Callithrix jacchus: one gene and its partner. The protein of the gene in region 1 interacts with the protein of each later gene in a biochemical or structural test. Links are inferred from orthologs where the notes say so. Each region holds a gene or a part of one and is shown on either strand. Other genes may lie near its edges.

Region 1 (3,630 bases):
CTTTTTCCAGACCAAGGCTTCAGTTGTGTTCTTATTTATGCCTAAAGGCTGTCTCCTGTCTGCAGTAGAGCAGATGGTCGTGATTTATGTGTCATTTAGGGTCCATGGTTTAAACTGTGTGATTCTGAGAGTGGGTAGGGTTATTTGGCTGAGTGAGAGTGTCCTCAGTGGAAACAGTGCATATGGGGGGAGGGTCATGAGTTGGAGGCTCTTTAGAGACATGGGTTACAGTCAAGGAGATAGAAATCAGAGTTCAGAAAATGTTAGCCTCTTAACCATTCTCTTTTCCCATGGCAGGTGATGGAGTAAAAGAAATATATTCAGTGTGATGTGAAGGTTGATTCGAATGATTGATTCTTGAGAAAGCAGGCATTTCCAAACCAGCAGGTTGTAAAATACCTCCTCCTGTGGTCATGACAGCTCTGTGTTCTGAGTCGCTAGCTATGTTTCATTTGCTTGCAGTGTTTGTGTCTGGTGAGCACTAGGTTCTCATGGCCTCCTGTCTCATACGGGGCTGAACCTTGTTTTCTTGGTGGTTCATATCTTATGGGAGACAGAAAACATGAGACTTGCTCTTGCGAGATGATCTTGAGGCTGCTGCAGAATCATGGTCTTTATGATGAACTCTACTGTGCTGTGAATTCACCCATTGGGGTAACAACTCATTAGTGAGTTGTGAGATGAATTCAGTGGGTCATGGCAAGCATTAAAAATAAAGTATAATAGAAAATGTCAAGGTGCATTATCAAGTGACGAGGATTAATATTATTTCATGAAATGTGAACTTTTACTAGGTAATGCTGTGGAATTTAGTCTTACTGAGATTTGCATAAAAATATTAAAAAACATCAGTTTAACTTACTTCAAGTTGAATGACAGTTCAGTTGAATCCCACAAAAGTATTTTGCACATAATAATAGTGAGTATTTTTTGGAACACTTATGATATATCAGTAATTATTTTAAACATTTCCTTTATTCATTTCACGTTTACATGTATTTATCCTCACAATAACCCTGTTGAGGGTATAGACACTTTAGAGAAACTTAGAAGCCCCAGTACTTGCTTTTTGGGTACACTCAGTCTCGTGTGGGAGGCATAAGACTGGACAGTGGAGAAGTGTGGCGCAGTGGCTGTTCTGTAACCAGGAAGGGGGCAGAGGCAGCCATCAGGCACCTGATGGGTTCTGCATGGAGTCCCCTTTGAAAATCAGATCAGTTACTTTGGAGGAACATGTATTATTTGAAGAGTAACAGTTTTATGAAAAATTATGTGAGCTTCAGCTGTTTTAGAAAATGGGGCATACTGAATCTGCAGACGAAATGCAGGTTTTCAAGGCAGGTCATATCTTTACTATAAAAACCAAATTTGTACAAACTTGGCATTGTATTGTTGGGTGGGGAGTTCACATAAATTGGGCCACACTAAGGGTCTAGAAGTTTATTCTTTTGAATTTGCTTCTGCTGTAATTTTTGTTTATTTGTTCTATGTTCCTAGGTGTGCCTTCTTCTTCCTGCTCCTCCTCCTCACTGGAAAACATGCTTTTGTTTAACAGTCCTTCTGTGGGCCCTGATGCTCCCAAGATAGAGGACCTGAAGTGGCATTCTGCATTCTTCAGAAAACAAATGGGTACTTCCTTGGTTCATTCACTGAAAAAGCCCCATAAGCGAGATCCTTTGCAGAATAGCACTGGAAGTGAAGGCAAAACCCTGCTGAAGCAGCCAGACCTGTGTGGTAGAAGGGAGGGGATGGTGGTCCCAGAAAACTTTCTGGGTATTGAAAAGACCTTTGCAGAAGCACGTCTCATATCAGCACAACAGAAAAATGGTGTGGTGATGCCAGACCACGGGAAAAGAAGAGACAATCGTTTTCATTGTGATCTCATTAAAGGAGACTTAAAGGACAAATCTTTTAAACAGAGTCACAAGCCTCTCAGGTCCACAGATGTGTCCCAGAGGCACCTGGACAACACAAGAGCTGCCACCTCCCCTGGAGTGGGGCAGTCAGCACCTGGCACAAGGAAGGAGATCGTGCCCAAGTGCAATGGCTCCCTAATCAAAGTAAACTATAATCAGACCACAGTCAAAGTGCCTACAACACCTGCCAGCCCAGTGAAAAACTGGGGAGGATTCCGGATTCCAAAGAAGGGGGAACGGCAGCAGCAGGGAGAGGCCCATGAGGGGGCCTGCCACCAGCACTCAGACTACCCATATTTGGGCTTAGGCCGAGTTCCAGCCAAGGAAAGGGCAAAAAGCAAATTAAAATCTGACAATGAGAATGACGGGTATGTCCCCGATGTGGAAATGAGTGACTCAGAGAGTGAGGCATCAGAAAAGAAATGTATACACACCAGCAGCACTATCAGCAGGAGGACAGACATTATCAGGAGAAGCATCTTGGCTTCTTGATGCAACAGAGATGATGTGGAAGCCCTTTGGGCTTGTCATTGGGTGTGCTAGAGGAGAGCTCTGATGGGGGGAGAAGCAGAAACCCATTAATCCTGATCTACACAAACACATTTACTTGCAATTCAGATTAAATTTTTTTTCCAGAGTCATTTTAAAATCATTTTTGTGAGAAGTTTGTGTTATTTGCAACTTGTTGAGGAAACAGAAGAGTAGATTGTAACCATACAACACTGCTAAGACTAGAACCCGAACTAAACACTAAAATAAGAATGAAATAAATTTTAAAGAGGGCAAGGCTTAAATAAGCCTCCTGAATTTTTACAGCCCTCTGCATTCTTCCCAAAGCACAAACTCGTGGTTACCTGAATACAGGGAACCAGATACGGTTCTTGAGAAACCTTCATGGTACCATTCACAGCCCATAAAGCTTATTTTCTAGGACTGTGGTAGATCTTGAAATCATATTTATATTTGGCCATCAAGGCTATTTTTGTTACATTATAGTATACAGGCAGCAGCTCTGAAGCTTCAGTAACACTAGGGAATTTATGTGTAAATATAGCAGTCAGGGAAGAGAGTTTTAAAAAAGGTCATTATTGGCCGGGCGCGGTGGCTCAAGCCTGTAATCCCAGCACTTTGGGAGGCCGAGGCGGGTGGATCACGAGGTCAAGACCGTCCTGGTCAACATGGTGAAACCCCGTCTCTACCAAAAATACAAAAACTTAGCTGGGCATGGTGGTGCGTGCCTGTAATCCCAGCTACTCGGGAGGCTGAGGCAGGAGAATTGCCTGAACCCAGGAGGCGGAGGTTGCGGTGAGCCGAGATCGCGCCATTGCACTCCAGCCTGGGTAACAAGAGGGAAACTCCGTCTCAAAAAAAAAAAAAAAAAAAGGTCATTATTGGAGGAGCTGAGGGGACAGGGTGGAGCTGCTGCAATGTGGAGATTTAGGGCAAATGTAGCAAGGTCCTGCTGCTTGAAGCCTGTGAGTAGGTTGTGGATATGGGACTGGTAGAGAGTGAGACTGTTAGGAAAGTTGTATCTATGAATAAGGGCAGTTGAAGTACAATTTTTATCAGTCTACTTGACCTTTCTCTTCCCTAGCCACTGGCTATGGAGCCAGCTTGGGATTTCCCTGGCCATTGCCAATACCTGGCCATCTGGCTTCCACTAGTATAACAGCTACTCAAGTTCAAGTGAAGAACTTCCAGACTCTGGTGACTC
Region 2 (3,520 bases), on another chromosome or scaffold:
AGCTATGATTGTGCCACTGCACTTCGGCCTGGGTGACAGAGGAGACCCTAATCTCAAAAAAGAGTTTTATATATCTATGCTTTTAAACAACTTTTTTTTTTTTTTTTTGAGACAGTCTTGCTCTGTCACCTAGGCTGGAGTGCAATGGTGCTATCTCCGCTCATTGCAGCCTCCACCTCCTAGGTGCAAGCAATTCTCCTGCCTCAGCCTCCCAAGTAGCTGGGATTACAGGCGTCTGCCACCATGCTTGGCTAATTGTACTTTTAGTAGAGATGGGTTGGCCAGTCTGGTCTCAAACTCCTGACATCAGGTGATCTGCCCGCCTCAGCCTTTCAAGTGTTAGGATTACAGGTGTGAGCCACAGTGCCTGGCCTTATACAACATTTAAAAATGCAAACTTTTAACTGCAGATGGCTGGCTGGCTGGTGGGCTGCATTAAAATAATTAGCACTTGAGGCTTTAGGAAAAGGGGGTACTTTGTGCCCCCTTGTGGCCAAGTGACCCTAGCTTTCTGCTGCTCAGCCAGGCTGCCTTGCCTTTTTTTTTTATTATTATTTTTTTTTATTTTAAGTCACAGGACTTTGTCTTAATTTCCTTATGCAACAAGGAACCTCCTCCTTGTTGAGGAGAGAAGGGGAGAAGGGCTGACAGGTAGTAGTGCGTGGTTTTTACCATCGTGAGTGGGTTTTCTAATCTGAACAAAGAAGACCATAATGATTAGGTGGTAATGAGAAGTTATGGGTAAAGGTGAGAGTAAAGTACTTAGCCACCCCAAGCTTCTGGAAATAAGCTGCTTAAGAATTTCCTGCCGGCTTGAGGCATTTGGTAATAAGCAAAGGTATTCTTATTTATTTGGCCTTTATGTAGTAGGTGATTTTAATCTCCTGGGCTAAAGCAGTGCCAGAATGTAAGCCAGAATACTTAGTTCCAGATTGCTATAAAAGTGTCATAAATATATTCAAATGACTTTGGAAGCCTTTGTTTTATGGAAAAAAAATCTCTGTTTTGCTGTATGTTCTCAGCGTGTCCGACTGTCCTATAGCTCATTAACCAGAGTTGACCTGTTACTCTTTCCTTTTTGAGAAGCAGTCTTGTTGGGAGGTGTTGGTTCCCTGATGTGAATTTCATTGTCTTGCAGGCCAAGTGTGTGTGGAAACACCCACCTGGTGATGAGATATATCGCAAAGGTTCCATCTCCGTGTTTGAAGTGGATGGCAAGAAAAACAAGGTAAAAAGTGGTGACTAGAAAGGAGTCGTAATGTATATTCAGAGGTTTCAGAAGAAATGTATTTTGTCTCTGTCACATCTCGGAGGACATGTTTCATTAACAATTATGGTATGTTTGAATTTTAGGCCTTTATCTGTCTAGGAATCAGTGGCCCACACATGAACTCTGTTTCTCTCTCTGCTTCCAGATCTACTGCCAAAACCTGTGCCTGTTGGCCAAACTTTTTCTGGACCATAAGACATTATATTATGATGTGGAACCCTTCCTGTTCTATGTTATGACAGAGGCGGACAACACTGGCTGTCACCTGATTGGATATTTTTCCAAGGTAAGCAGGATCTGGAGATGAATAAGCCAGTGGCCAGAGCAGGGTGATCGATGTTGGCAGTCGGGCAGCTAAAATCACTGACAGAAGAAGCTGTACTCTGGGCGTTGATGACACCCCATCCCTTAAATAAATTTTTTACGAAAGGCAAACACATGTATCAAAGATTGTTTAATGAAAATGAAGTTTTTATTAAAAGCTCTGGTTTATTCATTTCTAGAATTGTGGACTGGAGCTGCCTATTAGTGACTGGGCAGAGCCCTCCTTAGTATCCCGCAAGCCCACATCTTGTAGTCAAGCCAACTCTCCTGGCTTTGCCTGCCTCTGTGTTATTAGCTTAAAACCAGGGATATACTCCTTTAGCCTGATTGTTTAGCTGGACTCCTTTTAACACGGTCCCTTCAGTGATAACACCACTGTGCCTTTTAAAGACCCAAGGCCAGATTTTTTTTCCTTTCTTTCTTTCTTTTTTTTGAGACAGTCTCACTCTGTTGCCCAGGCTGGAGTGCAGCAGCGTGATCTCGACTCACTGCAACCTCCACCTCTGGGTTCAAGTGACCCTTCTGCCTCAGCCTCTTGAGTAGCTGGGATAACAGGTGCCCGCCACCACGCCTGGCTGATTTTTTGTGTGTTTTTAGTGGAGATGGTGTTTTACCATGTTGGCCAGGCTGGTCTCAAACTCCTGACCTCAAGTGATCCACCCTCCTCGATGTCCCAAAGTGCTGGGTTACAGGTGTGTACCACCGTGCCACGACCAAGGCCAGATATTGTTTATGGCCTTTAGTGTAACAACTTGATTGGAATATAATTCATACACCATAAATTCACGTACTGAAAGGCTACAATTTAGTGGTTTATAGTGTATTCACAGAGTTGTGCAGTCAACCCAGTTTGCATTATCCTAAAAAGAAATTCTTAGCAATCACTCCTGTTTTCACTCAGTCCCTCTCAGCCCTTCTCTATAAAGTTCCCTATTCTGGACATTTCTTATAAGTGGAATCATACATTTTGATTTGATTCAGTGTGATTGCTCTTTTTACCCTTTGCAGAATGGGGACCTACTGTATTTTTTTCCTTCCCTTTTCTTCCAGTAGGCAGCTCCTTTTCAAAAATTGCATTTAACCTTCTTGCCCTGCTCTGTGGCTGTTAGGAACTCAGAGTCAGCCCCCTTAAAATGAGACTAGAGGTCTCAGTTAGGGAAATCTGGATGATTAATGGCTTTAGCCATCATAAAAGGTGTGGATATAACAGCTATGCACCTGGCAGCCACTCCTTGGGACTGGTTAGCCAGGTGTTTTGCAAGCAACCTTATTTTATATCTGTGGAAGTGCTGAAATCTTTGGTTTCAAATCCTCATGACATGCTCATCTGTTTGCTCTTGATTTTAGGAAAAGAATTCATTCCTCAACTACAACGTATCCTGTATCCTTACCATGCCTCAGTACATGAGACAGGGCTATGGCAAGATGCTCATTGATTTCAGTAAGTGAAACTGCTAAGTCATAAGTTCTACACTTATGGCAGGGACCATGTGAATGTTGTTGTTTGTCTTTTTGTCCTGTGGTCTCTGCAATTCCTGGAATGTAGTGGAGGTACATGGATATTTAGTAAATGAATGAACAAGTAGGAAAAACCTGAACATTGTCATTCTGCCTGATACACCTTGAACATTGAAGGAATACTTAATTAGTAGGAGGTACAGAGGATGATAATGTAAGCTCTTTAGGATTATCCCAGTTTGCGACTTTTAAAGAGCACATGCATGCATGAGGCTTAAAAATCTGTTTCTTGATGCTAGGGATTTCACTTTTGTAGGGACTTGTCTAGAGGTAATATATATACCCGATGGACCCTTAGTGTAATGTACTCTGCCCTCATTAATTGTGGATTCTGTCTGTGAATTTGCTTACTCACTAAATTTTATTTTTAACCCCCAAATCAGTCCTAACATTTTTGTAGTCATTCGT

The links. The genes of interacting proteins can lie anywhere in the genome.
Region 2: the proteins of JADE1 (region 1) and KAT7 form a complex in vitro, tested with the Homo sapiens proteins (2 studies listed by BioGRID). The link is inferred for Callithrix jacchus from reciprocal best matches to the Homo sapiens genes JADE1 and KAT7.

What each region holds. Positions count from the first base shown.
Region 1 is NC_133504.1:68,405,222-68,408,851, reverse strand, and holds the end of JADE1 (protein Jade-1), read left to right. Parts: intron 1-297; exon of another isoform or gene 298-474; intron 475-1,497; coding exon 1,498-2,408; 3' UTR 2,409-3,129; downstream 3,130-3,630.
Region 2 is NC_133506.1:116,500,702-116,504,221, reverse strand, and holds part of KAT7 (histone acetyltransferase KAT7), read left to right. Parts: intron 1-1,138; coding exon 1,139-1,228; intron 1,229-1,415; coding exon 1,416-1,556; intron 1,557-2,941; coding exon 2,942-3,035; intron 3,036-3,520. UniProt on the Homo sapiens protein: Catalytic subunit of histone acetyltransferase HBO1 complexes, which specifically mediate acetylation of histone H3 at 'Lys-14' (H3K14ac), thereby regulating various processes, such as gene transcription, protein ubiquitination, immune regulation, stem cell pluripotent and self-renewal maintenance and embryonic development.